Linked DNA regions of Lonchura striata. The protein of the gene in region 1 purifies or fractionates together with the protein of each later gene. This does not show direct contact. Links are inferred from orthologs where the notes say so. Each region holds a gene or a part of one and is shown on either strand. Other genes may lie near its edges.

The links.
Region 2: the proteins of RSRP1 (region 1) and C1QBP purify together in Homo sapiens (affinity purification with mass spectrometry; 3 studies listed by BioGRID and IntAct, counting the BioPlex papers as one, with this or other methods). This does not show direct contact. The link is inferred for Lonchura striata from reciprocal best matches to the Homo sapiens genes RSRP1 and C1QBP.
Region 3: the proteins of RSRP1 (region 1) and CPSF6 purify together in Homo sapiens (affinity purification with mass spectrometry; 3 studies listed by BioGRID and IntAct, with this or other methods). This does not show direct contact. The link is inferred for Lonchura striata from reciprocal best matches to the Homo sapiens genes RSRP1 and CPSF6.

The regions. Positions count from the first base shown.
Region 1 is NC_134628.1:591,447-601,693, reverse strand, and holds RSRP1 (arginine/serine-rich protein 1), read right to left. Parts: upstream 5,072-10,247; 5' UTR 4,988-5,071; coding exon 4,917-4,987; intron 4,811-4,916; coding exon 4,755-4,810; intron 3,673-4,754; coding exon 3,136-3,672; intron 2,859-3,135; coding exon 2,704-2,858; intron 1,570-2,703; coding exon 1,486-1,569; intron 1,129-1,485; coding exon 940-1,128; 3' UTR 604-939; downstream 1-603. Other genes in the region: TMEM50A (transmembrane protein 50A), read left to right, coding at 5,845-5,937, 6,566-6,678, 6,806-6,873, 6,978-7,070, 7,481-7,541, 7,764-7,809; RHCE (blood group Rh(CE) polypeptide), read right to left, coding at 9,366-9,392, 9,655-9,728.
Region 2 is NC_134622.1:4,783,283-4,793,509, reverse strand, and holds C1QBP (complement component 1 Q subcomponent-binding protein, mitochondrial), read right to left. Parts: upstream 5,087-10,227; coding exon 4,843-5,086; intron 4,281-4,842; coding exon 4,130-4,280; intron 3,745-4,129; coding exon 3,657-3,744; intron 3,094-3,656; coding exon 2,998-3,093; intron 2,383-2,997; coding exon 2,260-2,382; intron 800-2,259; coding exon 650-799; 3' UTR 388-649; downstream 1-387.
Region 3 is NC_134607.1:44,498,302-44,509,368, reverse strand, and holds the start of CPSF6 (cleavage and polyadenylation specificity factor subunit 6), read right to left. Parts: upstream 4,650-11,067; 5' UTR 4,573-4,649; coding exon 4,513-4,572; intron 1-4,512. UniProt on the Homo sapiens protein: Component of the cleavage factor Im (CFIm) complex that functions as an activator of the pre-mRNA 3'-end cleavage and polyadenylation processing required for the maturation of pre-mRNA into functional mRNAs.

The DNA.
Region 1 (10,247 bases):
GTAGGTTCCACAGGTTTGTGTGCCAGCAGAATGAAGAGCAGAGTGATATTCCGGTGGAAAGGCAGCTCACTCCTGTCCCTCAGGAATTCCAAGGTGGGATTCCCCCCCTGGCAGCAATTCCAAGGTGGGATTCCCCCCCCCAGCAGCAATTCCAAGGTGGGATTGCCCCTGTCCAGCCTCACCCACAGGGAGAGGATAAAACACAGGATCCTCCCCCCATTCAAGGGTCTCTGAAAGAAGCTTCCAGACATTAGTCCATTCCATTTATTTTACTAACAATTTGTTTATACAAAACCCAAGTTTTACCAATTACCCCCAAAATGCAAGAGCTCCTTGCTTTCCTGAACTTTCTCCTGCCCCTTTTCCCTTCCTGCCTCTCAGGGAGGCTGATCTAAAGCAAACCAGTAAAATAAACCCTGTAGTGACTGGGAATGGCCACGGTTCCTGGGGCAGGCAGCTGAAATCCCACACAATCCCCACTCCAGAGGGCACCCGGGGAAGGAAGAGGCCGTGATGGAGGCAGGACCCACGGCCAGAGTGATCTGGGGAGTGCAAGGTAAACCCACAAATAACCACAGAAACTCGGGCCTAACACCTGACACAGCCAGTGCAAAACTAAACTTTATTCACTTGAAGTAAACAATTGCACAAGGTAAATCCAGGTGTTCAAAGAACAGCTACGCAACTATGGTTTAGAAAAAGTTACCCACCTGCAAGTTCTAGTCCAATAAAGCAATATAAAATATTTACAAATATACACAAGATTCCCATCTGTGGCTTCTGGATCTGTGTGCTCTCTCTATCTGAAAGAGAAACCTAAGATTCCAAAAATTAAGACCTCAAAATAAATACTCAGTATTAACAAGTCTTCAAGCCCATCAGAAATCTCCAAGTCTCTGCTGAGGGGTGCCCAGTGCTGCAGTCTGACAGTGCCTCCCCTCAGCGTGCCCGGAACAGGGAGCTTTTGGGTGAGAAGTTCAGGAATGTTTTCTTCTCCTCCTTCTTGACAGGAACCCACTGCCCATAGGGGCTTCCCTTCCTGTCCTCCTCCCTGGCTGGAGAAACCACTGGCTCCTTAGCCACAGCGTGGCTCACTGGCTTCTGCAGGGCAGGCTTGGCCATTGTGTTCTGGGGAAAAAAAAAGACATTTCCTGTAAGAAAAGGTGCTGGAAACAAGGGGTTTATCATATAAATCATATAAATGTTTTCTCTCCAGCTCCTGGAATTCGTGATGCTTATACTAGGTATCAATCCCATGCACAAAACACAGGAGAAATCCCCAAATCTTAAGTTTGCATTACTAAAACATGAAACTCGATATAAGCTGTGTTTTAAACTAGTTCTAGTTTTGAATTGTTCGGGTTGAAGGTGAACACTTATTTCCAACACACTGCTGAGGTGTATCCAGGTGCTCTACCAACTCCTGCAGGGATATCATGAGCAAACATTAAATTCCTGTCATTACTCAGGGATTCCATCACTCACATTAGGGCTGAAGGAAATGCTCCTCTGGATGGTTGTTCTCTCCATGCCAGCCTTGCTCACGTCCTCAGCTGCACTCCCGGGTTGCTAAAGAAGAGCAGACACAGCTTAAGAGGGGCTCCCTGGGGCAGGGCAGGAGTCAGAGCAGAGCTCTCTGGGACTGTTCCCTATTTCATCTGAAGTGGCTGTGAAGCCACAGCACGGCAGGGCAGAGCCCAGGCAGGGCAGAGCCCGGGCTGGGCTGGCAGCCTCTGCCCAGGGCAGCTGTGCCAGTGCCAGCCGAGCTGCTCCCGTGCCAATGGAGGCAGCTCCAGCCCAGCAGAGCCCAGAGAGGACCCAAGTCACAGCAGAAGCTGCCACAGCAGAGTGGTGACACTGCACACCCATCCTGCAGGGCTTTGGAGAACAGTAAACTTATCTGCAAGGGATGCAGGCCTCTTCTTCTGCACTCTCTCAACATCTGGAATATATTGCATATGTTTATGAAAGGGATGCCTGCACCGTTTGTGTCAAACCCTCAGCAAATTCACGTCCCTTTCCACGAGCAGCACCTGAGGCAGGCAGTGGCTGCCTGTATTTACTGTATTGTATTTACTGTGCCTCAGGGTAACACACCACGACAGAACCAAACTAAAATTCACTTTAAGCTGCTCCAGTTTCTCCCTCCCTTCAATTCACAGCAGCTACAGCCCACAAGTCCCTTAATTACCACCAGATTTTCTTCCTCATGTCTGGAACCATAGTCATGATTTCTATAAGACAGAAATAAAGTATGTAAAATGCATTGTGTGCTTGGGTATGGAATTTCTGGGAAACAGTTTGTTGCACATGAAAATCTTTTAACAGTTAAAAAAGGCAGAAAGATTTAACCTTAAAAAAAATAATCCCACACTATTCACTAGGTTTGGCAAGGATACTCCTGGTTTTAGGTCAGAAAGGCATAAACTAGTGGAATTCATGGGAAATATCCCATGAGGAGAACAAGTCAAAGGAACAAGTCTCCTCCCCTTCCCCAGCTGTCCCTACTGGACACTCAGGGGATCAGCCACCTCAGAGAGGGCCTCTGCTGCCAGCTTAGGGCAAAGCCTCGAGGTTTCTGGACAAGTTTTTGTTCAGGAGTTTGAGCTCATAAAGCACAAGCTCCACAGCTGAACTACAGCACAGCCATGCAGACAAGTCTAAGAGGTGTTTACCTTGTCAGGGAGAACACTCCATACTTACCTCAGCTGACTCCGTGGCTTCCTCACGCGCCTGCTTCTCAGTTTTGATCTCCTTGGCAGGAGCAGAGATCTTCAGGCTCGCTGGCAAGACAATGTTGTCTGTTCCCAGAGCTTTGGCAGCATTGGCTTTTGCAATTTCCAGCAGTTCCCTCTTGTCTAGAAGAGGAAGGAAGAGAAAAAGTGCTTTGCGTCACATTAAAATCCACGTGCACCTACTCAAGCCTAAATCCTGCAGGTTTGACATCCATGCACTCATCATCTGGGACCGATCTCATCACAGCCTGCCCCCCTGTGCCAATTAATGTTCTGAAGAACAATCTTTATTAAAAAACCGAGGTTTTTTTCACTTGCGCTTTTCAAACCAAGCAAGCCGAGGAGAACCCGCCTGGCTCAAACAAAGCCTCTCTGCGGGCTCTCGCAGAGCCCCAAGTACCTTTTTCACTGAGGTGCAGAGGCGACCTGCTCCGCGAGCGCGTGCGGCTCCTCCAGCCCCGGTAGGCCTCGGGGTAGACGCTCCTCCCGAAGCCGTAGTAGCGGCGGCCCCGGGAGCGGGAGCGGCTGCGCGAGTAGGAGCGCCGGTAGCAGGCCCTGCCGCGGGACCAGGAGCGGGAGCGGCGCCGGCGGGGCCGGTAGCGCCGGGGCCGGTAGCGGCCACGGTAGCGCCGGGAGCGCGAGCGGCTGCGCGAGTAGGAGCGGGAGCGGCGCCGCGAGCGCCGGGAGCCGTGCCGCCGGGAGCGGGACCGGGAGCGGGACCGGGAGCGGCTCCAGCTGCGCGAGGAGCGGCTGGAGGAGCTGCTGCTGGAGCGGGAGCTGCACGACGAGCGGCCCGAGGAGCGGCTGCAGCTGCGCCGGGACGAGTCGCCGTGGCCCGGCGAGCCCAGGCTCAGGTCGTCCATGAACTCGGTCACGGCGGCCGTCTGCCCTTTCTGCGCGCCCTCAGCCGCCGCTCTGCAGTGCCCCGTCTCTGTTCCTGTGGGGGGAGAGGGAAGGTCAGCGTTCACGGGCACTTCCTCAGCAACAACAACCGCGAGTGAGGCCAGGGATAATCCAGCACCCCAGCGACCCCCGGCCATCTTCCAGTGACACTGAACACTGCAATTCCCTCTCCTGAAGTCAGCCACAAAACTGAAATACAAGGAATGAAACACCCCAACGACCCCCAGCCATCTTCCACTAACACTGAACACTCGCCTGCAGTCAGCCACAAAACTGAAACACAAAGCTGTGGGAAAAAATAAAACTTTCAGTTTAAACCATGAGTAGTTCTGCATGGAATTTTGGAGAGAGGTCTGTGTGGGTTTTAAGTTTAATTCCTTGCTCAACACCTTTTTTTCCCTCCAAAAAACAGGAAAATCTTGACATTCTTGAAAAGAATTTTCCAGGTATTTTATCATCCTAAATACACAGGATCCATTGCTTTTATGATAGAAAATAACCATTTACTTTCCAGCCTAGTACACATTAAGTTTTTTGCTACAATTCCTCCTCGTTGGATACTCCAAAAGGGAAAACGAAACTACCTTGTAACTGTAAGGCAGCTGAGATGTTGCCTGTATCTCGCTATCAAACTCGCGGCACACAGCTGCACACATCCAGCAGTGCACTCAACAAGCTGCTGCTAAAAACGCTCCGTGCAAAAGCCGGGAGATGATCCAGCGGCCGTGACTCGCACAGGACACGGCACTTACGTCTCTAAATTAATAATTAAAATGGCTGTCCCTGGAGTGGCAGCCATTTTATGGCTACAAAGGTTACCCGGGGTAGGGATCTTATCACAAGACTTAAGCCCAGAGTTACGTAACCAGTTTAGGGCAGCTTGCTTGGACACGGAATTTCTATTTAGCGCTCGGCGCAAAGAGAAGCTCGGCAACAAATCCAACCCGCGCACTGAAATCTGATTAAAACTGAAGTTGCGGGAGAGTCGTCAGAGGCGCTTCTCTAGCTGAAGTTTCACTGTTTTATCTGTTCGCCAGGAGCAAGGTCACGGAGCCGGGACAACAATCAGAGAAATGAAGCCCCGGGCCTGCCGAGCCCTCAGCGCCCCTCACTCACCGCTGGGCGCCGCCGGGCACGCCCCGCGCTGGTTCCCCTGCGGCACCTGCGCGCTCCTGCGAGGAAATAAAAACCGTAAGAACCCACCGTGAGCGCCCCGCAGCCCTCAGCGCCACCGCCCTCTGCCCCCGGCCCCGGCCGCGCCCCGGCCCGCCGCCTCACCGGCTCCAGCCCGCCGGGCTGCCCCCGCACGGGTCCTGAGGGGAGAGCCCCGCTTCGTGAGTCACGCCCATAGCGCCGGGCCCGCTGCGCCGGCCGCGATCGCCGACAGAACCGCGATAGAAGCGCGACACAGCCGCTGCTGCCGCCGCCGCCGCCGCCCGCCGCCGACTGAGGGCGGGCCCCGAACCTTCCAGAACGTCCCTCCCGTTACGCAACCCGCGCGCCCGCCGCGCACGCGCCGGCCCCGCCCCCCCGCCGGGCGCCGGCCCCGCCCCGGCGCTCCTCGGGACGCGCCCGCGCTGCGCATGCGCGCGGCCGCCGCCGCCGCGTCCCGTGACGGTGCGCGGGGAGCGCGCGGGGAGCGCGCGGGGCCGGGGGCGCGCACGGTGCGGGGGATGCGCGGGGGTGCGCGGGGTGCGGGGACCGGGGTGCGGGGGGTGCGGGGGATGCAGGGATCGGGGTGCCAGAGATGCGCGGGGTGCTGGGACAGGGGTGCGGGGGATGCGCGGTGAGCGCCTCGCGGGGTGCGGGAGCGGGGTGGGGTGCGCGGATCGGGGGTGCGGGAGATGCGCGGGGTGCAGGGACCGGGGTGCGGGGGATGCGCGGGGTGCTGGGACAGGGGTGCGGGGGATGCGCGGGGTGCTGGGACAGGGGTGCGGGGGATGCGCGGGGTGCGGGGGATGCAGGGACCTGGGTGCCAGAGATGCGCGGGGTGCTGGGACCGGGGTGCGGGGGATGAGCGGTGAGCTCATCGCGGGGTGCGGGAGCGGGCTGCGGTGCGCGGAGCGGGGGTGCGGGAGCGGGCTGCGGTGCGCGGAGCGGGGTGCGGTGCGCGGATCGGGGGAGCGCCGGGTCCCCGCCGCGCTGCCGCGGTTCCCCGCGCGGACGGAGCTCCCGTTTCCTCCCGCAGTCGCCGGCAGGCAGAGCCATGTCCGGGTTCCTGGAGAGCCTGCGGTGCTCCGAGTGCGTGGACTGGGGCGAGAAGCGCAACACCATCGCCTCCGTGGCCGCGGGGGTGCTGGTACGGCCCCGCCCTGCTCGCGGTTTTGGGGGTCTTTGGGGCTTTTCTGTCACAAGATAAAAACGATGAGCGGTTTGGGAGGCTCTCCTCCAAGTGGGAGCATGAGAGGGAACGGCCTCAAGGTGTGCCAGTGGGAGTTTAGGTTGGATAAAAGGGGGAATTTCTCCACTGAAATGGCCAGGCATGCTGGAGTCACTGCCCTGGGAATGTTTAAAAAACACGCGGATGTGGCGTTTGGGGACACGGTTCAGTAGTGACCACGGTGGGTTGGAATGGATGCTTTTAGAGGCCACTCCCTCCTCAGCAATTCCAGGGAAAGGAAGAACAGGGATACATTGTCCCTGTGTGTAGCAGCAGAGTTGCTGACAAAACCTGGCCTGGTTTCCTCCGTCCGTTTTTTGTTTAAATTTCCCAGTTTTACCCAGGAAGTAACTGCTGGAGTGGGCAAACCCCTGGCTTTGCAGTCAGCTTGATCCCAAACTGACAGCAAAACTGATGGTGTCACAGTTTAGTCTGGGTTGGAGACTGTACGGCTGTTTAAATATTTATGGTGTTTTTCCAGAGCAATCTCACAGGCTGTGTCTGTATTTTAAGCTCTGTATTTTAAGCTCTTCCCCCCCCACTCTAGTTTTTCACAGGCTGGTGGATCATCATCGATGCTGCTGTGAAATACCCTCAAGTGGAAGACTTCAACCATTCCTACCACGCCTGTGGGGTGATCGCCACCATCGCCTTCCTGATGTAAGGAATTCCCTGCCCCGCTCCCAGCAGAGCAGTGAGAGTGCAGAGGAGAGCTTTAATGCCACTTCTGTCCCCTTTAGTGCCCCTCCTGTCCCCTTTAAAGCCCCTCCTGTCCCCTTTTCCCCAGGATCAACGCCGTGTCCAACGGGCAGGTGCGAGGGGACAGCTACAGCGAGGGCTGCCTGGGCCAGACAGGTACCAGGGCTGGGCTCACACCCCTGTTTTGGGGTCTGTGGGGTGTGTGGGGTGTGTGGGGCCGGGTGCCCCAAGGGTACAGGACATCCCCCATCCCATTGCAGGGGCTCGGATCTGGCTCTTCATCGGCTTCATGATGGCTTTTGGGTCCCTCATTGCCTCCATGTGGATCCTTTTTGGGGGCTACGTGGTTAAAGGTAAGAGCTGACCCTATTGTTGGATGTTTAAGGTGTTTTTAATGACTCCTGGATTTTAGAGTTGGTATTTAGAGGGTTTCTAGGCAGGCCCAGTTTGAACATTTTGCCCTACTCACCACTCTGCCATATTATTACAGATATTGGGGTGGATTTGATCTAAGTACAAACTTCCTCTACAAAACCAGCTCTTGCCCAGCTGGGAACTCCATGGATATAATTAAGCTGCTGCAGTTCTAAGGGAATAATTCCCTGGGTGAACAGTTATTCCCAGAATACAAATTACATTGCAATCCTGCAGATTGCTCCCAAAGCCTCTCTGCTAAATTAGCACAAGGGGAAATGACATGTCAGAAACGGGATATGCTTGAAAATTACTTTAAAAAGTTTTATGGGGATTTTTTTTTTCTCAGAAAAACCAGTGGTGTACCCAGGAATAGCAGTGTTTTTCCAGAATGCATTCATCTTTTTTGGGTAAGACTGTCCTCTTTTATTTGTTTCCTATTTAATTTTAATGATAAAAAACCTGAAACTTGCTGTGATCTGGTTGGTCCTAAAGTCCTGTTTTGTAAGCAGACCTGTGTGAATAACCTGGGATCTGCCTGCACAGGAACTGGATTAACAAATCCCTCTTGAAACCCTATTTTTAAACAAGAGGAATTTGATTTGTGGTGTCCCTTTGCTGTGTTTCCACAGGGGCCTGGTGTTCAAGTTCGGCCGCACAGAGGATTTGTGGCAGTGAACCCCCCTGGAGTGCCCTGGGCTTTAACTGCATCCCCCAAAGTTTTGTAAAACCATTTTGTAAACCTTCCATTGTGTCTGAAGAGAAATCAAGGAAAGCTGAAAGCACTAAATCCAGCTCTATTCCGGTTATTTTTTTTACTCTTGTACGTCCACTTCAGTGTTGTGGTGTTTTTGAGAAATGTAAAATTGCTACAAACAACAGTGGAGTCACTTTTCTAAAATGATGTTTGCTACAAATAAAAGGAAAGTGGAATATGGATGTATTTAACCAGCTCTTTCTATGATGTTATTTACAATCCAAGACTTACTAAAACTGCATTTAAGCAACCTTTTAACAGATATTTATTAAATATTTCCTATATCTGGGCAATATAACCATTTATTCAATTTCAAAACTTGCTGGTGTCTGGCTTTTCTTGTGTAATTCAGAATTGTGGTGGTTTGGGATTTTTCTTCCCTGAACATTTCATTTATCCTGTGGTGATGAAGAGGAAGTGTCTGGGAAGTAAACTCACAGTTTGTGCAGAAGGTTTGGGCAGCTGCTGAACTGCTGGCTCTCTGGGAGCTGGGAACGAGGCAAACTGGCCCTTCCTCTGCAGGCCTGCATTCCTTGGGAGCTGCCTCCCTCTGCAGCTGCAGGGATCTGCTCAGCAGGGAGTGAATGAGGCCAGGGAGCCTCAGCAAAGCACTCGGTCACGAGCTCCCCCATTCATTCCTCCCAGGCTGCTGAAGGAAGAGAAACAGCCACGTTTGCAATCTTTTACTGCTGCAAAGTTTTCTGTGTCAGCTGGTTTTGAAAGTAAGAGACACTGAGGATCACAATCCACTTAAAAAAAGGGTTCACTAGCAGAGAATCCTCTGTCCCCAGAGTCCCTGCACTTCCAAAATGCTGGCAGCACTGAGGGCCATCCCCTGTGCTGGGCCAGACACTGCCCTGAGCTCAGTTTGTGTTTTACACTTGGCAGCAAACCTCAGGGGTTCCAGGAACACCACCCACAGCTGAACTTTTGCCACCAGAACCTCCCAACATCCAGCCCCAGCCAGATTTTTCCAGGAGCTCAGGCTGGCAGGATGCAGAGTTCTGGCTCTGCTCCAGCTCACTCATCAAATCCTGGCCTGTCAAGGCCTTCAGCAGAATCACTTCAGCTTTTTTAAAAACCTGAGTACCTTGCTAGATAAGAAGAACTCCTTGAGAAATGACACTTTCAAATCCATCATTTTGCTTTGTAAACTCTGGAGCTAAAAATAGTTTAATGTTTCCAAGCACTTGGGTTGATAAGCCACGAATGCAGACAACTTTTTTGTGCATGTCTTCTAAAAAAGTATTTTAAGGTAAGGCAAACAAAGCAGAAAAGCTGAAGTTTGCATCTGTGAATTCACACTCTATCTTTCAAGAATAACTGGAACAGTTTAGTTTTTGAGTGTCCATTGGGGTGGCTTTTGTGGGCCTGGGAATTGGTATTTCAGTGCTCTTTGAACTCATCATAGCTGTTCAGTTTTTCTGGTGATAAAGAGGAAAATCTTATCTTGGTCCTGTCAGCTGAAATCCTCCACTCAAAATCCAACAGACAAGTGGGGAAACTGTGAACACAAACATTCTGGTATCAGAACATATCAAATCATCACAGGAAAACCCCTCAAAACAGTGGAAAAGCTGGTTAAAAGCTTATTTTCACAGCCTCACATCAGCATCTAAGGGTGCCCAAGGACTGTGCATCAAAATGTGCTGGGAAAAGGAATAACCCTTTATTTCCCCATATTTTTAATTCAAATATCTGGAGTTCTTTATCAAGATGCTAAATGAAGTCCCCCACAGCGAATCTGAAATAATTTTGAAACTCACCTCCCAGTAAAACTGGTCATCAAAGTACTTTGAGACATGCACTGCTTTCAGCAGTTTGATGTTTAAGATTAAACCTGTTGTTAAAGAGAGAGAGATGCAAAATAAACACCAGGGAAGGGGAGGATTTTGTGTAATAGGAGTTTCTTGGCAACATTTATCCAAATGTAATGGATCAAAACACAAATTCAGACCCAAATCCTCCAGCAGAGCCCCCCTGACCCAAGCTGGCCTTAAATACAGAAAGAGGCTTGCCAGGATCAAGGCTTGGGATACTAAAAATGAATTACTTTAGGTAAAACCCCATCAAACAGCTGCTAGATTATGAAAATACATCAAAATTATTAATTTCTTGCATGAGAAGTGCCTGTGTATTATTTATCTGGTTTATCAGCACTGTTAGTTTGGGATCTCTGGATTTTTGAACAATTGGTTAAACACTGAATGTTTGGTTATTTCAGCTGGATGTTTTCTAAAGATCTATTCGTCCTTCATTACACTTAAGTAATGCAAAGGTTTAAATAAATTCAAACATTCAAAAAATCATTGTAGGGTGTGTTTCCCAGCAATTTTCATTGGCCATTTCTCTGTTGCTC
Region 2 (10,227 bases), on another chromosome or scaffold:
TCTAACTGCTGTGTCAAAAAGACACTCCTAAAGGCGTAGTATTGCCTTGACCTGCACTTTTAATCACACAGGACATGTTTTGAAATAAATATATTTAGTTTATTTTGGCCTTGGTGTTGTCTTAAATACTTAAATACATCAGTGATCTCACAGCTCATGTTGCACTTCAGCGTTCTCTTTGAGTTTAAGTGAATCTTAAATAAATAAACTAACTAACATGAACTTAAAACCTTCAAATAACAATTGGAGGCATCAGTTTAAGTATGAAATACTCAACCATCACTGCCACAACTACTCTGTGAGCAGCTCTGGCACAGAGAAACTCTACCATCACGTTCATGGCAGCACTGGTACAGCAGGAAGAAGAGAAACCACCTTTTTCACTGATATGTTGAACAGTTTTTATTCTTCACATTCACTCTCAAATTGTACAAAAAGCCCCATGCAGGGCGAGGCAATTCTGGCCTGTAGCATCAGAGAACTTGGGGCTGCACCATCACTACAAATCTCCAAATCCAAGGGAGAATCCTTCTCCTCCACCTTCCAAGTTACTTACTCTCTGTATCCACTGTGAAGATATATTTGGGTATTGCTGGATGAAGCAGCACTGTGGAATACCCACACTTGAGGCTAAATTTCCTAGCCTGACCTACTGACATTTGACAAAGCTTTTAAGGTCTTCAAGGAATTTAATGTACTCCTGGTGCTCCAGGGCAGTGCTGAGCTCTACTAACTCGTCAGCAAAGGTGTTGTCCACTCCTCGGTCAGCCAGGAAATCCATCAGGTGATCGTAGAGAGCCTGGAGCAAGGAACAGAAACCTTCCTTAGTGAACACACCTGGGGAGGGGGTGGATTAAAATGTCCCCTGGAAACTGGCACTTCCTCCCAGGAAAATCAGGCCCAGCTCCCACTGATGCCTTTCGCATTTTCCAGATTCTGTACTGCATTAGTGTGTGACTCTGAACTTCAGGAGTGTTAGCAAGTTCTCCTCACAGTTCAGTCAGACAGAACAATCCTTTTCCAGCCTGAGAACCAAGGACACCATTGCAGCTTCAGGCCCAAAAAGTGCAAACAACAGGGAATTGAGAAGAGCAATCTGGGAGAGCAATTTGGGACTGCATCACCAGGAGAATTGGACAATGAACCCCAATATGAAAATGGACTAAAACTTATAAAAGTGTGAAAACTCCTGACTCATCACCCATCTAGGGTGCAGCCCTGGCTGGGCTCTTGTCCTGCCCAAGGTGTATCCTTTAAGGCCTTTTAATAAATCCCTATTTTATTCCTTTAACACTGTCTAGCCTCTGTTCTAGGCAGCCTCTAAGGCACCACCACAGAGGGCAGGCCTGACCTTGGGTGGAACATTTGGACAGAAAGGGCCATGGAACACAAAATAAAAACCCAAACCCAACTGCAAATGAGCTGCACCCTGGAGATGATCCCCAGATTGTGGGAGCCATCAGGGGAGCTGTGCCAAGGATGACACAGGCCAAGCTCTGCCTGTCCCCTCTACCCCGGGGTGAACTAATGCTTTGTAAAGGTATCTGATGTACAAGTTTGTTTGGAAGGCTTCAGTGTTACAGTCATGAGCTTGGCTTTTTCCTTTCATACACATTTTAAATTAATTTAATATCTTAAGACACGGGAAAAAAAGAATAATCAGTGTGGGATGGTCTGCAGCACACTAAGCAATTTTAACATGGATGCTTCTCAAGGGGATACACTCTAGGACTTATTTCTACTTTCAGTTTTAAACACGTGACAGCCTCAAACTAAAAATTGTAGCTTTTTAAATCCTGGCATTGAGAACATAAGAACAGACAGATTCTACTGTGTATTTTTAGTGTTACAACTCTATCAACACACCTGGAAAACCAAGACACAATGTATTTTTTCAGACACCACACACAGATGCTTTTATCTACACATGGTGTCTGATAAGCCACATTGTTAAACACACAGATCAAAAGACAAGTGTCAAAGCATTTCCAGATCGTGATTCCCTGCTGGGAAATCCACCTATAAAATCTGGAAGGGAAGGAGTTCCTCCTGTCTGTCCTGATTCCTGGTAACGCCAGCAGCAGTGCACAACCCTGGGACCAGGAAACACCTCAGGCTGCAGCAGAATCACCAGCTCAGGGGCAGAGCAGGGCCAGTCCCTGTCTCAGACATCCAGACAGGTTTAATTCCCAACCCAGGAGCAGAGGACAGCCAGGTGGGGTGAGCTGAGTGCCCTCTGTGGCCTTTAGCAGCACCTACCCAGTCAAGGGAATCCGTGTTGAGGGTGTAGTTGGTGTCCTTCCAGTCAGCTTCTCCAGTGGGCTGGAAGCTGACCTCCCGAATTGTGAAAATATCACTTTCTTCCTCTCCTTCATTTCCAATCTGAGGCAGGAAAACAAATGCAATTAGCTGCAATTACTGGGCACTAATGAGCTCAGCCAGCTCATCCCCAGGCTGGGAATCCCTCAGGAAAAGTCCCAAGGCCAGACAAGCTTTCCCCTCTCACCATGTGCCTGTGAGGACAAGCACAGATATGCACAGAACTCAGGAAAACCTCTAAGCTTGTGCTGCCAGAAGGGACCTGATTTAAATCAGCAGCTCGAGGTTTAAAAATATATAAAAACTTCTTCCGAGTCTTCCCATGTCCATCTCACCTTTAACAGCCAGGACTGTTAAACATCTCCTAATGTTTACAAAATAAACCACAAATACCAGTGTGAGCAAAAGCTCTCGATTTTATTTTCTTCCCTCCTTTTTTTTAATCCCTACTTCTCTACTGTAATTCAATAAAGAGCCCAATAAGGGCTGATCAGAAACACCAGGGCAGGATGTGAAGAATGCCATAAACATTTCCTCCCCACTATTCTTGCAAACTTAAAACCTTTTTTTTTTTTTTTGTGATTAAGAGAAAAAAGAAATAAGAGGAGACTGCATATTGTGCTGATTCAGAAAAGCAAGAGATTACAAAGAGCAGTTAAATCCAACAGGGGCACTCACCTCATCTTCAGGGAAATGGCAGTCAAGCACAAGGGTCTGTTTTGTATCATCTTTTATTACTTCCACAACAAAATTTGGAGTTGATGTAAGTTCAGGCTAAATAAGAAAACAGTTGCATCAGCACTTGAATCTGAACAGGAGCCAAAGCAATCACAGCACAGCCCTGTTCTGTATTCCCTGACACCTTCCACTATCCCAGGTGGATCCAAGCCTATCCAACCTAATCCAGGACACTTCCAGGGATGGAGCAGACACAACCTCACCACCCTCACAGGGAACAATCTCTCCCAATACCCAATTTAGCCCCACTCCCTATCACTTAAAAGCCATCCCCCCATAACCTGTCATTCCATTCCCTTGTACAAAGTTTCCCTCTCCCACTCTCCTCCAGACCTTTTTGATAGTGGAAGGTGCTAGAAAGCCTCACAATTCCTCTAACTTCCCCTCACAGAGCCCTCCCATCCTGCTCTGCCTTTCTGCAGGGGAGAGGGAGGTCAGGCAGGGGACAGGCAGCCCTGGAAAATCTGCATTTTGTGCTTTAATGCTCCCAAACATCACATAAGCCTCAACACTCGAGGACAAGATTCCAAGTTCCCTAAGGCAAGATTCCAACTTTGGTCTGTGTCCCCAGCATTTAAAGCACATCAAGGCTACGTTACCTCCTGCTCATCAGGCTTCTGCTGTTCCTGTGTGTCTTCTTCAGCCGAGGGTGGGATGCTGTTATTGATGTTGAATGTAACCGTTATCCTGCAAAAGAAACAGACACAATTCTTTTGAACACACCCAAGAAACGCCCATCAGAATGGGTCTCTCAAGCCCTCATTCAGAATTCGCAGTGTGAACAAAACCAGGCATTGCAGTTAAAAGTCACACCTGGGAGAAGCTGCTCCCTCCAAGCGCTCTCACTTTTTCAAGTTTTACTGAACTGTTATTTCTAAAACGGGAAGCCCGTGAGAAACTTTGTAACACAAAACACAGTAACAAACCGGTGTGGGAAAAGCGCCTTTGGCCCAAAGTGGTCAAACCAAGAGCGTTTGCAGGGCACAGTTTGGGGAGTGAGCAGAAGGAGAAGCCTGGTCACTGTCACCCACCCGCCCTCGGGTGCTGGGGACCCTTCCCAGACCCCACTCACTTCTCCCCCGCGATCTTCCGCACCAGCTTGGCCTCTGTGCCATGGACCTCCAGCTCCCAGCCCCCGGAGACCTTGGGCAGGGATTTGTGCTTCTGGATCTTCTTCTCCTCCTTGATCTCGTCCGTCAGGAACTGCGCAAAGGCTTTGTCTCCTGGTGGGAAAGAAAATGAGGTTAGGGAAAGGGAGGGTTATGGAGAGGGGGAATGAAGGAATGGGGTGGGGGGTGAGTTGAGGGAAAGGGGTGTTGGTAAAAGAGGTGTTGGAAAACAGGGTTAGGAAAAGGGGGCTAGGAAAAAGGGGGACTAGGGAAAGGGAGGGTAAGGGAAGAGGGGAGTTAAAAAAAGGAGGGTTAAGGAAAAGGGGAGTGGAGTTAAGGGAAGGGCGAGTAGGAAAAGGGGGGTTGGAAAAATGGGGGTCTGAACGAAAAAAGGAGTTAGGGAAAGGGGGTTTGGGGAAAAGGGAGTTGCGAAAAAGGAGGTTAGGGAAGGGGGAGTAGGGAAAGAGGAGGTAGAGAAGGGGATGTAGAGGAAAAGGGGGCTTAGGCGATGCCGGAATTTAGGGAAACAGGTGGTTTAGTGAGAACGGGGATTAGGGAAAGGTGGAGCTGTCTTAGGGCTGTCGGGAAAGCCCCCGCCGCCCCACGTGCTTCCCAGTTCGGAGGGGGTGCAGCGCACGTGTCCGCCCCGCGCCCTCCCCGCTCCGGCCCCGCTCACCCTCGGTGTGCAGACCGCCGCAGCCGCAGGACACGCGGCCGGCCGAGCCCCGCCGCGGCCGCAGCAGCGCCGTCCGCCCCGCGCCGCCGCCCAGCTGCCACAGCGAGCGCGCCGGGGCCGGCGCGGCGGCGGGCGGCGGCAGCAGGGCGCGGGGGAACGCGGAGCTGAGCGGGCGGCGCGGCGCGGGCCGCGGCGGGCGCAGCGCGGCGGCGGCGGCGGCGCGCAGGGAGCGGGCGAGGAGCATCGTGCGGAGCGGGCGGCGAGGAGTGCCCGCCCCGGAACCGCGCTCCGCTTCCGGCCCCGGCGCGCCCCGCGCGGCTCCCGAGCCACGGGTTCGAGTCCCGGCTCGGCCGGTAGGGGGGCCCGAGTCCCGGCCCCTTGAGACCGGGTTCGAGTCCCGGTCCCGGTGAGGAACCAGGTTCGAGCCCCGGTCCCGGTGAAACTCCCGGGTTCAAGTCCCGGCCCCGGTGAGACACCGGGTTCGAGTCCCGGTCCCGATCAGGAACCGTGTTCGAGTCCCGGCCCCGATGAGGTACCGGGTTCGAGTCCCGGTCCCGATGAGACACCGGATTCGAGTCCCGGCCCCGATGAGACACCGGGTTCGAGTCCCGGCCCCGGTGAGACACCGGGTTCGAGTCCCGGCCCCGATCAGGAACCGTGTTCGAGTCCCGGCCCCGATGAGGTACCGCGCTCGAGTCCCGGTCCCGGTGAGACACCCGGTTCGAGTCCCGGTCCTGGTGAGACACCGGGTTCGAGTCCCGGCCCCGATGAAACACCGGGTTCGAGTCCCGGTCCTGGTGAGACCCCCCGGGTTCGTGTCCCGGCCCCAATGAGACCCCCGGGTCCGAATCCCGGTTCCGGTGAGATCCCGGGTTCGAGTCCCGGTCCCGCTGAGATCCTGAGTTCGACTCCCAGCACGGTGAGACCCCGGGTTCGAGTCCCGGTCCTGGCAGGATGGAGTGTGCCAACGGCGGACCTGGTTCCTGGGATCCCTGACAATGGAATGACCAGGGATGGCACAGACAGCACCCAGACAGGAGTGAAGGCACAATGAGAGTTTTAGGAATGTGGGAGACATGCACGAGTTTTATCCCAGACATCCTCCCACTCCTAATTATGACTGCTAGTGTACAGGCCAGAGCATGGCAGTCTCCTCAGAACAAGAAAAATGAAAGAGTATTTTAGAGGAAACAGTGACTAAGGCAGTGTTTTCTGGCTCCAAGTCTTCCCTTTGTCAGAAGCTGGCACTAGTGCCCGCTATTGAGAAGCACAGAAGGCTCATTTGCTGCTCATTGCAAGGCAGGAGAAGGAAAGCATCTGTCCCACCCCATCAAAGGACCAGAATTTTAATTCCCAATTCCCCACAGGAATCTGAGCACTGCACATGTAAATGGCAGAGTCCATTCTGCACAAGAAGCACAGATTCACTGTGCTACCTTCACATCTTCAAGCCCAGACTGCTGACAACGAACACACTCCCATGAGAACCATAAACACCAGGACTGTTCCTATGATCATTTGTTCTGTGCCTCACAAAACAACACCCAGGATTGGGATTTTCACCATCACTTCTTTATTCTGGAAAAAACACATAATGTAAATAAATACCCATCCCGTTCCTTGAGGTTATAAAAAACACGGTTATACATCTATCCATTAAATTTTTAGAAAAATAAGTCTTTCAAGGCGGAGCTGAAAAAGCCAGCTGGTCCCAGGGTCAGTTGTTGGCCATGCGGAGCTTCCTGCGGAAGTACTCGGGCGCGGCCTCGTGCAGCCACTCGGCGTCCACCACGCACAGGTCGCGCATGTAGCACCTGCTGGTGCGCAGCAGCCCGGTGTACACCACGCAGGCCGGCTTGGCCTGGAACAGCACCGAGGAGGGGTGGATGGCCACCGCCTGCTGCGAGTCCACCGTGCCGTAGGAGCCGTCCGGCCGCAGCTCGGCCGCGTTCATGAACAGCCCGTGGGCCAGGCAGCGCCGCACGCTGCCCGTGTCGCCGCGGCACGACTCGAGGGGCATCGACAGCTGGGAGAGACGGGAGTGAGCCGGGGCAGCCTCGAGGGGCACAGCCCTGCTCCACTGCAGAAAGACTGGGGGATTCTCCTGGGAGAGCACGCTGGGGGACTAAGGAATTCAGCTTGGGGGGATGCTAGGCTAAGCCAGACTAAGGGCCAACAAAATGGATCGTCACTCTCCTGCTGGAAGTGAGTGTAAGGCTGACCAGCTATAGGAAATCAGGTAACCCCCAACGGGAAGAAATTATGATGTCTGGCTCCAGATCAGAAGGCTGAAGGACCTGCTTTATTAAGACTATATTATATTACATTAATATACTATTTAAAAAGATACTACACTATTCTACATACTTAGTTCTTACTTCCCTATTAACTAACAAACAAACAAACTCGTGACTCTGTGCTGAGAGCCCAAGCCACAGCTGGATCCACTGGTCACTGGCCCTGAACAACCTTCACCAGAATCCAACCCAGCAATCACTTCAGATAAACAATCTCCACACCACATTCCACGTGGGGAAAATTAAAGGAGCGGAGATAAAGATTGTTTTCTCTTCTCTCTGTGCTTCTCCTGAGAGACAGAATTGTGTCTCTCTGTCCAGAGAATGGGAATGCCACAGACCAGCATTCACAAATGACACCCCACAAGACCCCATGTCACTGCAGACTGCCAGGGGTTCAGTGGCAGCTCCCACGCTGTGCCCAGCAGGAACAGCACTGAGGGGAAGCTGCTGCCACACTGAATGCCTGACTCCATGGAGAAGCCAGCCAGAACAGGCTGCCAGCACTCTGTGGCACAGACAGCACAGTGCCACCTGCACTAGAGCAGGAAAAACCCTTAGGAAAACTTGGTCCTTCCCTGAGAAGTCTTCTTAAAAGTTCTCATTTCTCCTTGACCCACTAAGCCCTGCAGCTTTAAGATTTTAGAATGCAACTGCACAGTCAGGAATTTTAGCCAGCTATTTACAGGAGACTGAAAACAATCCCCCATTTTCTCACTCTTTGGGACTTGGTGCACAGTAACATAAGTTTGGGGACAAACAGGAAAATACCAACAGGTGAAACAGAGAAATATGGAAGCAAGTTACCTTTATACAAATGTCCCTGAGCTGAGCTCTGACTTCTGCCATCAGCTTCATGTTCCTGCCATTGATAAAGTTCTCTCTGCACCATCCCTGCAGCAGAGACACCAGGAGTTAGAAGGGGATATTTCTTCACCTCAGGAGCATGACAGCCTTTAGATACTACAAAAAGCAGAATCCCCTCTACAATCTGCCTCGGAGAAAACGTGCTGACCCCCTTCCTGGTCATATTTCTACCTCCCTTTACTCCACTATGTCTAGATTCCCTCCCACTCTTCTCAGAAACAGCAGGTGGTGGTTCTTTTCCCTCTCAGAGCTGCTCAGCAAGGCCACCAAGAGCTGCAAAACAGCCCTTGTTATCCTGCAGGTGATGAAAATAAATCAGGTAAGAATGTCAGATGTTGCAAGGAATGGGGTACATGAGTCCACAGATTCACAAATCAGTGAGGGGTTGATGAGTAGGATAAACCCAAATCTACTTTTAAATATGCTCAAAGTTTTCCCAATGAATCCTGTCCCAGAACATGTCCAGATATGTATCATCAAATCTCAACACTCTCCCACTCCCTTCTGTTTCCAGCTGGAACCAGGAAAGGAAGAGCCCTGGCTGTGATTACAGAACTGGCCCCACAAAGCTTTGCCAGAGCTTTCTGTAGGAACCTTTGTTACTGAACTTCCTCCAATCCCAGTTGTAAAGGATGGGCCCTCTTTTCTCTCTGCTTTGGAGGATGGATGCCTGTGGCACCAGCCATGGAAGATGCAGGTGTCAACTCTGCTCTCTGCCAAAATCCCCTCACCCCATGAGCTCAGGCAGCTCAGATCATCCCACCTTGTGCCCATTGACATTCTTGTAGGCCCTGTACACGTTGAGCAGGGTCAGATGATCCCCCTCACTGGAGATGAATTTCCTCCTGGCAGCCTGCACCTCATCCCGCTGGGCAGGGGGGTTGTGGAGGACACTGTCCACTGATAACAGTGACACGATGGTCAGGATCTCCTCTGCACAGTGGAACTTGGGTGACAGGAGGATGGCCTGCGCAGACACAACAAAATTCATCTTTGGCTGACCAAATCCTCTTCAGCTGGGCAGATCTTTCTGCTCCCTGGCAGTCCAGGAACTCCACCAAACATTGTTTAGGGCAATCTCATAAACTGAGCCTAAGAACAGCTGTAAATCCTCTGATGGGTTCACCAAGCACCTTTAACACCTGCCAGGCTCCTTCCTGAGACTGACCAGTGCACAACCAGCACAAACACAGTGAAAAACCAGCTACAGCAACAGACATTTCATGGACCTGCCAAACAATCCTGAAAATTGCACACAAATTTGTCTTGTTCACCTTCAGAGGTGCCAGAGTAAAGAAAGTCTCTTTTAAAAAACTTCCCTAAATTTAACAACAAATGACAAGCAAGCCAGCAAAAGGGCTGTAAATTATGTACATTAATGTACAGCAAATATACCAGTAGAACTGCAAACACCCCAAATTTCACACCTTGTTTAAGGAGTTTGAAAGAGAAACATCAATGGTACAGAGATGAATATATGAGATTTAAAAAGTTTTGTTTTTGTTTGGTTGGTTTTTTTTGTTTTTTTTTTTCAGTTTTTACCTTGGAGAACTTTGGATCCAGTGGAAAGACTGCCATTTTCTTTCCCAAGGGGGTCAGGACAAGCTGACCTTCCTTGTGGGTCACAGCCCCCAGCAGGTCCAGCTGATCAATTGCTGCTTGAATAGCATCTGTCAAAACAAGGACTGTGAGGCCTCCTGCCTCCCACTGAGGGATGTGAAGATCAGCTGGTTCCATCACTGCCTCCCTCCTCTGGCCAGAGGGACAAGTATTTTCCATTTAGAGAAATGTAGTTTATCCTCCTCTATCCCAAGAGAACAAGCACCCCATTTACTCTTCCCCTGGCAGTCAGGGCACACCTTTATGTTGTGTTGTTATGACACCTTATGTCCCTGCTCTTTTCCCCAAGGCTTCCTTTGTAGCCACTTACCAGGAGATGGTTTGGACATGAAGTCAAAGGTGAGCACATTGGGAATTTTCAGGGCCAGGAGCTGAAGCACCACACTAGCCAGGTTACACCTGCATAGGCAGAATAAACAACTGAGACAGTTCTCTTATTTTATTCTTTTTTTTGTAGAAGCTGAGATAGAATCTCAGGTCTGTGCTGCAGCTTGACAGAGACAAGTCTGATGCTGCTGGTGAAGCCTTACTTCCTAAACCAGGAAGAGGCAAGTCCAAACTCTGGAGGACAGTCAGAACTATTGCTTTAGGTGTTTGGAGA
Region 3 (11,067 bases), on another chromosome or scaffold:
AACATACAAAATGGAACATTAACAAAAAAGGGGGTCTTTGATACTTCTCAGATAGCAAACTTGCCTATGGCAGAAGTGGACAAGTTTGCTAGACCATAGGATTCACGTTTACTCTACAGGCCCAAATGCTCTTGGCTCTAAACGGCACAGCACTAAAATTTAAGCAACCTGATCCCTTGTAACTAAAAATTACAGAGTAAGTACAGAGTTACAAAAAATAACTAAACATTCACAAGTAGTCAAAAATACAAACTAAACATACATATCATCACTGTTCACATTAAAACAAAATGAAGAGGTGCCAGGTAAGAAGGTCTGAAGTTTTTCTGGAGTTTGATATTTACAAAACAAAAATATATATACAGAAGTTATGTCTTTCCATGGCCCCTTTCAGCAGAACTGACAAAATGTATACGCCATCACATGTTGTGGACATATTTTATAACACATGCAGGTCTGTCACTTTATGTTTTTTTCTGACTAGGACAGCCCTAAGGAGTAGAAATTTATTATACCACAATCCCCTCCCATGATAAGACACCTCTCTTTCTGATATAAAGGCTGTTCTTAATAACTGGCTTTAACTGGCCACTAAATGCTAGCTTTTATTATTTATCACACACAAAAAAACTTCCTTTGTGTTACAGATCTGAAGTCAAGACAGTAACTAACACATTACTAAGATACTGTAATTTTCAGATAATTAGCCTCTTAACTGTTTAGTCCATCTAAATCAGATTTATTACCCAGTTACAAAATACAAAGTGAAAAGTCTTTCATCCCTAATTTGTTAGCATTTAAAAATCAAAATAGAACACTACAGGCATGTCTAGACATATCCACAATTCAACTACCCAAGTTTACTCATTAAGAGCATAAACAAAGCAAGCACCTTTTCCACAGCATTAAAATATGATATGCTTAAATTCTTTTGCATCCTCTTTCTGACCAGAAAGATTTTTACATGTATACATGTGTATAATAAAAGTTTTTACTGTTTAACTACATGCATGAGGACATGTGGGGAAAAAATCCTCCAAGCATGAAAATGCAAAGCTGATTAGGGCATCAGGGAACTGGTAACACATGGTCAAATTTTCATGACCATAAAAAAGCAACCCAGTTTGCTGGCCAAACTGGCAGCAGCGTCAAGTCAGATACAAACTGGCCTTCTGCACAAGTTCCTTATTATCTCTGTACCACACAGCAATATTCTGGGGTTTTGTGTATAAAACCACACCCTAATATTTCCTAAAGCACTCCAAACTTACTGAGGGTAGAAGACCCTTGAAAGAATACCATCCCCAGCTATTTGTATGCAGGTAACAGTTCTAACAAGCGTCACAGATCTGCCTCTCCTGAAGAGCAAGATGTGTAACATGTAAGGAGATGCTTAAGGTAAAATATTCCATGCAATACCTATTTCTAACAGGGCAAAAGCAATGCATGCAGGAAGTACTACATTTATGAGCTATAATCTCAAAATGAGACTTTAAATAAATAGATAAGACTGCTGGATGGGGAAGTCGGCTTAGAAGAAAAGAAAAATGAAAAATTACTCAACCAAGTTCTCCAAGACAAAAAAAAGAAACCACAATTTAAACAAAACTGTAATTGGTCAGAGCCAAATTGACTAATGCTGTTAGCCCAAGAACAAAAAGTATTATTTTCATGAACAACAAGTTAATAAAAGAGGCAACACTGACAGACAATGAGGTTCAGCTGGAATAGGAAAGATGCATCTTCACTCAAAAGATTTTTTATCAAGTTTTGTAACCAAAACTAAATACAACCCATGACAGTTTATGGCTATCATCCATCTTAGCCAGCTTGTAAACCCATGGTTCTGTGGTCTTTATTTCACCTTTATAACCTATGGTTCATTTAGCACTAATCAAGCAGAACAACCTTACCCTCCACCTACTTGGAAAAAGGCATTAAAAAAATCCCAGAAGAGCCTCAAGGATGAGTACCTTGAGGTGTAGAACAAGACAAAATAACCAAGGGAAGTTTATCCAGTTAATAAGTCCTAAATCTAAATGAAGGGTTAACTCCAGATGCAAACACAAGTCTTGTCCCAGCTTGGGTATAAATACAGTTATGTACTGCATAGAGAAGAACAGCAAGCTCCACAGCACATTTTTCAGTCCCTGCCAAAACTAGTGGAAAGGGTTTCTATACTCCAATTTAAAAAATATTAGTACGTCACATTCATGTAGAACAACAAAATCAAAAATCAAGTTCATTTAACAGATAAAACCAATTTATTTTACAAATATGGTGTTTGTAAAATGCATAAATTGTAAAAATACAAAATCAAATTAATAATGGAAATCACTTTCTTCCTAAAGCATTTTTAACTGTCATCTTAACACATCCACATAATTCTGTATTATCCATTTAAGCTGTCAGCTTCAAATCAGGAACAGCACTTTGTTAATAAAAGTTTCTACACACCTTTTCTCAATGATGTCAGAATTAAGAGGCAGTAACTAATACAACTCTCTTTCACATATGACAGAAGGAAATGCCAAAGTGCAGAGGCATCAATCTCTCACAATTTTACAAAAGTAAAACTTTTATATTGTCTCCAGACTTACTCAGTTCAACAATATTACTTTAAATAAAAAGTCACAGAAATTAAATCTGGAAAATAACAAACAGCAATTTTTGGGGGTGTGTGCCACAGTCAAAAACACAGAAGAAAACCCCCTAAAACAAACAAACAAAACCCCCAAATTTAAGCTGATGGAAAAAGGGCAGTAGCCTCTTCTCACCTTTCTGCCCTGTATTTTGCAAGATTTATGAACTGAAACAACAAACTGCAGAAATGCAAACCCACAAGGGAAGCAACTGGAGTGAATACAGAGAAAAAGCAAAAGGGTTCCCTGCCTGCTGGATTAAGCTAAACTAAATTATCACAAGACTCTCTTCATTTGTAACACCATGGTTATATAGAATATCAACAGTAATGACTACCTGAGACCTAAGTAGACCAGGACCGTGTGAGTGAAACAGATCATCCCCATCACTTTTGTTCCAGCACTATCTCTTACAGCACATAACTATTCTACTCTGAGCCCTTCTGCACACATGAATTTACACAAACACTACCAGATTCAAGTGAGGGTTTTTTCTCTGAAAAATCTCCTTTGTTTTCAGTTTTATTTAGAATTGATTAAACCAAATTCAAGTTATCATAGAACCTCAAAAATGTACTCTTCTGCTGAATGGTGTCTGCCCTAGGGTTCATTCCTGTTTAAATTCATACAGTGGGTCTTCAACTGTAAGGGAGAAACCTTCACATACAGACAAAATAAGAGCAAATCAGTGCTTTTCATCATCTCCTTTTAGTATGGCACTCTTTCTGAGTACACCTTTATGAGATTATTAATACTCAGAATTACTGTATTAATCGATGTCTGAAGAAATAGTCTTCTAAAAAAGCTACAAGTTGCTGAGAAAGTTACATATTCCCTATGAATTCCAAAGCCATTGCTTATTTCCCAGTTCTCTGTAGGGCAAGCTGGCATACAGCCGGGCCCCGTAAGTTCCTGAAAGTGCAGTTGTTCCCGGTTATTTATGCTCTAGGGTAGGAACAAAGCAATTTGGGGCAACTCAACCTGGAGAAGTGCAGCACTCGCTAACAGGACAGATGGCATGCAAAACTCATACAACCATCGCGTTTAGGTAGGAAAGCTGGCACACGGCTGTGTGGTAAAGATGAGGGAAAAACACAAACAAAACACCAAAAATCCACAACAAAACCAAAAAAACCAAACACACCTAGAAAAAAAGAGGACTACTTATAATCCAGAGAAGTTTCATATTTCATCTATATTGCCTCAACAAAATATGAACTCACCCTCTAAAAAAGGCTTGTGTCACTTTTTAGAATGGAATAACAAGCAAGAAAAACAAAAAAGGAAATACAAAAAGCTGGATACTCTCTCCAGTGCTGCAGAATAAAGCCGCACTAGTTCCGCCTCCCCCGCAAAGCGCGGCCGAGGAACAGACACCGCTCGGCGGCTTTTCGATTCATCTACGAACAATGGCAGCGCTTCCCCTGCGCCCCGGCGGGAAGGGGCCGCTCTCCCCGCCGCATCCGGGAGGGCCCCGCCCGCCAAGCCGGCGCGGAAGAGCCCTCCGGAGCGGCCCTGAGAAAGAAAGGCAGAGAGGGAGGAAGGCTGGCAGAAACGGAACAGCGAGGAAAGGAAAGAAGGAAGGCGCTCGCCCCCGGCGCGCCCAGCCCGCCGGCACAGCCGCCCCTCAGCGCCGGGCGCGCTCCCCGCCCGGCCGGGCCGCCGCCGGCACCCGCGGCCCGGGCGGGGGGCCGCGCCCGCCCGGCCCCGCGCGGGCCCGCGCCCGGCGGCGGCGGGAGCGCCCGAACAATGGCGGCGCTGCGGCCGCCGCGCTGAGGGCCCTGCAGGCGGCGCGGCCGCGAAGGCGGGCGAGGGAGGGGAGCGCAGAGGGGAGCGCAGCGGAGAGGCCGCGCCCGCCGGCCGCGCGTACCTGGTTGAACTCCTCGCCCACATCGGCGTAGATGTCGATGTGGTCCACGCCGTCCGCCATGGTCCCGCCCGGGGCCGCCGCCAGCCGCGCCCGGCTCCCGAGCCGCCGCCGGGAGGGGGAGGGAGCGGGGAGGCGGAGCGGGCCGTCACTTCCGCGGCGGCGCGGCGGGGCTTCCGCCGGCGGCGGCGCCGGGCCGCTCCTCCCGCCCCGCCCCGCCCCGCCCCGCCCCGCCCCGGGCGCTCCCCGCCCGGCGGGGCCGCGTTGCTGCTGCCGCGTCCGGCCCGGCCCTGCTCCGCGCTGCTGGGCTCGGCGGGGCTGCGCCGGCCGCACCGTGCCGGGCGGTGAGGTCGGTGTCGGTGTCGGTGTCGGCGCTGCGGGGCGCAGGCCGGTGTGCCGCTCCGCCGCGCTCCGGGAAGGGAGCTCCAGCGCAGTCACAGCGCCTTGGTGCTCAGCAGCCGAGGCCTGTGGCTGTCGGCTGAAAATGAGCACCGCGCTGCGCCTTCAAAGCAGGGGCGCGCCGGGCTCCGGAGCGCAGTGAAATGTGCGGCAAGGACACAAAACAGGCACACGCCGAACTGCATTTAGCCACGGCTCTGCTGTGCTGCCGCAGAGCACTCTTTTTTAACGTCACAAAGTGAAGATAATTAATGTCAAGTCAATCGGGGTTCTTTCTTTCGGTGTTGTTTGTTTTTGTTGTGCATTTTGAACTGTTAGGGTTGCAGGACAGCTTCAAATTAATTTTGAATGAATGTTCTGTTACCCAGATCCATGTTTAAACTCCAGGTGATTTTTAGAAACATCTCCTGGTATATGAAGCGCAGTGCACATAATGCTCTACATAATAGGTTATGTTCTGCTTTGTACATTGTGTTCCACATCCAAAAATAAACCTGCTTTTTTTACTTTATCAAAAGCTGACAATAAGAAGCCTGTGCATCTCAGACTGAATTAAAATAATGTAAAAACATCACTGCAATGAATAAAAATGTTATTTTTAGCATGACTCAAGTTTTCTTGTTTCATGACTGGAAATACTTCACAGTGTTTGGATTGGCATCCAAAGTACTGACTTCATCTTGGGTCCTGGACCTGTGTGCAGATCATCCCTGTCTAGCAATCCCACACTGAAGTGCCCATGGAAAAGAAATATGAATAGACAAAAAAATAGATAAAAAATCGGAGATCCAAAACAAGGCATATGTTGTGGAGCGCACCTGCTGACAGTCTAGATAGATTTCAGATATGGAGATGCTTGGGTTATTCCTGGTGTCGTTATCCAACTGGTGAAATGATAAATTTGTCAGCTGCAGATCCTGTGTCATTCCTGCTGTTAATTCTGGAAGACGGAAAAGGGTTAAAGGGTTTTTATTGAAGTTTCCAGGTTAAATGAACTAGCAGATTGTGAGCCCTTTGGTAAAACAAAAACAAAAAAACAAAACAAAACAAAACAAAAAAACATCAAAAAAACCCCAAACATTTTAGAGGTGGTAGTTAGGAACATACAAACAAGGGATCTTAATTGAACTTCTAGTGTTGGTTACAATTGTGATTTACACTACTACATTTATCACAGGTTAAAAGTACATGTTCACATCTATGAATGCACAAATTACTGGTGAATGAAATGATTGACTGGTTTTGCAAAGAGAATCCACTTTTCTGGATTTCTCACAGTCCATACAGATGCTGTTAAAGTATTGAGATCTGTTTGGGTTCACTTACTTCCCTAATGGTGAACTGATTTAGTAACTAGTCTTCTAGAGAGTAAAGTGAAGCGCTGTGACAGTCACCACTTCTGGCCATGCTAAATAAAGCTGCTGAAATCAAGACAACCTAAGCCTTGCTATCCTAATGATCAGATTAAAAAATAACAGCAGATAGTAGGTCATATGCAATTGAATGTTTTATATTCATCTGAGTATTATCCATAGGTAGTTTAAAAAGGCAAGATAATAAAATATGAATGAAAGTCATCAGAACCACCTCAGGGATTACCACTAGCATTTGAACGATCTCGTGTGGGGCCTTTGAAGAGGCAGGAAAAAACATCAGCCTCTGCTTTGCTTGTTGTGATAATGAAGTGAAGCCCTTGGACCCCCATATGCTGTTTCATGCTCAGGAGTTTTTTCCACTTTGGAGCCCTTTTTAATAGTTTGACTTGCTAGATTTACTGTGCACAGTCATTTACAGAATAGATTATGATAATTGTTATTCTTGTATGCATATTACTAAGTAAATTCTGTAGGCAATGTAGGAGACTAAATATTATGCAAGCTGTTCTGTTCCATTTTTGTTGTGTTTTCATTCTTTCCATGGATAGACTTGCTAAATACGTCTTCCTCTTTCTTGTGGTCATCAATAGCTTCTTTGTGAATTACTGTGCCTCAAGGGAGCAACTTCAGGGTTGGTCTACTCCAGTGAAAATATTAATGCTTTATGTATTGTACACATTTAAATTATTTAAACAAAATGTTCCATCCTTCACCCAGTAAAATTCAGGAGGCTGGCTGAGGTGAAGCAGGGCTTGAAACAGAAATGTGATCATTAGATAAAGAATTCTTGGCAGTACAACATGGTCTTGGCGAAGTGTCCTCATAAGTTTTGTTGGGGACAGCAGGAGCCACTACGCATGAAGTAATCACAAACCTTTCAAACACTTAGCCCACCATGGGAACAAATGGCAGCAGATGAACTGGTGTCTTCCTTCAGTTCTTCTTTCACACCGTGGGATGTTCTGTCATTTGATGATGGCAGCTGGAACTCCCTTAATAGCAAAAGAAGGTGGGAAAGGCACTGTAGCAGTTCTACAAAGGAAGGTAGCCTTCAAGTCCCTCTTTCTCATGGATACACAAAAGCCTATTTACTTGTATATCGTTCCTTTGGTCTCTTGAGCTGTTAATGATGCAAATTCGGATATAATCCTCATTTTGAACATAAAAGCAGCAGTTGGTTCTCTGAGGATCTTGTAACATACATCTTGTTAGCCAACAGAACTCCCCATACCTTCCTCTTCAAAGCATTTCAGACCATTTTCTATTAGGATGTTCCTGCTGCAAGACAAAGGGGAGGAGAGCTATTTTACCAGCCCTTTGTATTGTATGTGATTATCTCAAAAATACTTAAATATATTACTTTAGTTAAGAATGGGAGAACCAGTTTCAATATAATAATGCTTTTAAACATTAACCTATTTTTGCCAGTATCAACATGGCAAAAATATATATTTATATTTCGAAAAATAATTTTATGTAGAATTTGCCTGAGGAATCAAGACTGAGAATAGTGCAGGATTTTTCAAATGGACTTTTATTTCAATATCAGCATAAACTGTTCTTGTAACATTTGCAAAAAGCTAATCATAAAATATGCATTTTTCACAATGCAGTAATGTTGTAGGCAACAAAGTGAAAAGATAAGCTATGAAAAAGTGCTGTGTTAATCAGGATAGTACTCAAAATCAGAGGAGACCTCAGCTTAGTTAAGGAGTGCAGTGTATGTTTTGTTATATAAACTTATGTCCTAGCTATGTCAGTCCAATTGCAATGACTGTTTTGTTTCTTTACTTGTAGACCTGAAGGCTTTGATCTTTCCAAATCCTCTTGGAGCCACTCTGCATGCCCTTTTATTGTTTTTCTCCCAGTAAAATATCCAAATAGTGAAAGCCTGTACACTAAGCTGTAAGAAATAGTTTTTTCCACTTAAATGCCTTAGTTTATAAAAGTCCACAGACAAAAATGTGAGAAAAAAAAAATATATTCTAAATGAGATGGCAAATAGGCTCAATTCTGCATATTTGCTTTCAGAGGCCAAAATTTCAGGTTTTGTTAACTCTCGTGTAACTGCAGGCTGAAATGAAAAGAGACAATTGTGTTCCCAACAAAGGTAGCAACAGCCTGTGCTGGGAAAGAGGGAATATTACCTCATCTTTTGGTTGCAGCTCACAGTTAGATTGGATTAAGTGTAATATAAAACTGCATCCAAAGGGCATCTACAAGAACTCCTACTGACAGAGCTATTGTAGGAAAATAGCTGGCATTATTCATCGCTTGCTCAGAGTTGTCTTTTTATAGGTATTCAATTGTTTTGGGATCATACATGTGAGCATTGTGCTCCATCTTTTTTCCCCTCTATAAGTGCCTGTCAGTCTACTGATTATCTTGGTTCAGCTGTTCACTCTGTGGTTCAGAGCCAGGTTGAAAATGGTGGTTAATCAGGATATGATTTGCAAATAGTATGCATCTTCTAACCCTCAAGGCAGGAAAGTGTATTAGAGAAGGTAAGTATAGTGCAAAAGGTGATAATAAATTCAATTGCCTCATTTGAATCCACTTTCATATGAGCTGCTAATCAGAGAGCTCAGTTACCTTCAGAAAAAGTATGAAATTGAATTTCCAGCTTAATATTACATCCTATTTTTGATAGCTTTGCATTCCCTTGTTTAAAAACCTGTCTCTAAAATTTCATTTTTACCCTTAAGACTGTCATTAATCTATTTTTTCCTTTTTTCAACTCCTCTTCTAAATTGATTAAAACCTCCTAAACTTGTTAACTGCATTAAACACATCTTTCTCTGTATTGGCTATATGCACATACAAATAAAGGAACAGCACCACAAAGACCACTTTAGGATGCTCTTTGATATTTCAAAGAATTTAAGCTCAAGGATAACTTTGTTACATAGTTTCTGTGTACTTCTGATACCACGAGTCACTCTGAATTTGGATAAAATCTTCACTTCACTTAGTGCTTTGAGCACAGGCTGGCTGGCACAAGTCTGCACTCCAGGCTCCCTCTTTGTCAAGCTGAGCTATTTAGAGTTCCAGAGAAGAGAAGCCTCCTCCATAATATTCAGGTTTGGTATTTTTTAAACTTGAACACTTCCAGATTTCAGGAGAGGTAGTATCTATCATTACTTTGCTATAAATAAGCCGAATGAGTCTGGAACTGGAAAGCAATGTATCTTACTCAAAGAGCAGGCCAACATTCTCACTCTGGCCCTGATCCACATCTCTGCAGGACTGCTGAGCGATGTTCACGTGAGCACTTCACAAGGGTCAGAAGGGACATGCCCGTCCCCTCTGTGAGCTCCTCACTTCTGCTGTAGGGATGGGACTGCAGGTCCAACCCCTATCCCACTGCTGGGATTGCACCAGAAAAGCTGAGTGTCTCATTTGTGTCACCAAGATTTTGAGGAGAGACTGTCCCATTTGTACCACTGACCTTTTTTTTACCACTGCTGGGGTACAGCAAGGAGGTGCAGCAGGATGGGCTGTGCCAGGTGCCTTTGCAGAAGTGCTATAGGGATCAGGGATCACTCTCATCTGCAGCTTTCATCGGGACCATCCTGCTGCAGAGACAGCAGAGAAGAACAAATGGTCGGGTTTTCCTTCCAACAATGCCTAAGAGTGCCAGGGACATGAAGCTGCACAGATAGCAAGGGGGTTTGGTCTTGAGGATACTGCAGAATAAATAATCATTGTAAGTCCCATGGCAGCTTCTTTCTGCTCTACAAATCAGGAGCTCACCCTGGAGGAGAAGCTATCAACTGCTGGCCTCCCCATAAAACAATTATGTGTGCACTGATTGCATTGTTACAGGACAGGTGTTTAGATTTAAACACCACAAAGGGAAGTAAATAAGCAGAATATGAATCTATGAAAGCCATGTGCACTGTTGAGCTGATACCACCAGGCTTACTGTCAGAATACTTGTATGTCATACAGCAGAGTTATGGTTTCCCAAGCCATTCTCAAGGCCTGCTTCAGCATTGTTTTCATGGGTCTGAATAGGACATCCTTTTGCTATTAACAGCTTAGTGGCAGAAAAGTATTCCTTACTCTCAACAAGGTTAATTCTTTAGGAATTTTAAGGGTATCTTAGGAATAAAAAATGTGCATATATAATAATTAACTTCTGGCATAGAAGGTCTCATTCTGAATTAGCCCAAATTAATTTTGAGTTACAGAAAATACACAAAATATTCATAAATACTTAGCATTTTCCCAACATTTTAAATATGAATTTATTATATAATTTACAAGTATTATGATTTAATCATTAACTCTCTCTCTGTAAGTTAGGTAAGAGTACCATGATATTTATTTTAATCAAAAGGAGACATTTGAGCTCAAATTTCCAAAAGCACCCACTGAATTTGTGAGAATTGGACATCTAGAGTGTCAGTCATTGCAGTATCAGCAGTAGTCAGGAAACACTGGTGAAGTTTAGCATCTTTTTATACTTGAGTTGCTCAAAATGAATGGACATTTTAAAAAATATTGATTTTCTCTCCCTGCAGGTGTGAGGTCACAACATATCATTACTAAAGAAAAACAAACTAGAAAATTTCAGAATTAGTGGAACAACACCTCAATCAATGAAAACAATCACAACAAAAATGCAGTTTGACTAATTTAAAATGCAGGTAACTAAATATAAACTCCTGGTTTGTGCCTGGAATCCATTTGGGATAACTGAAGAGGAGCAAACTAGAAGAACAGTTGGGAATCTATTAGAAGAAAGATCTCATCCTAATATTAATCTGATACTTTACTG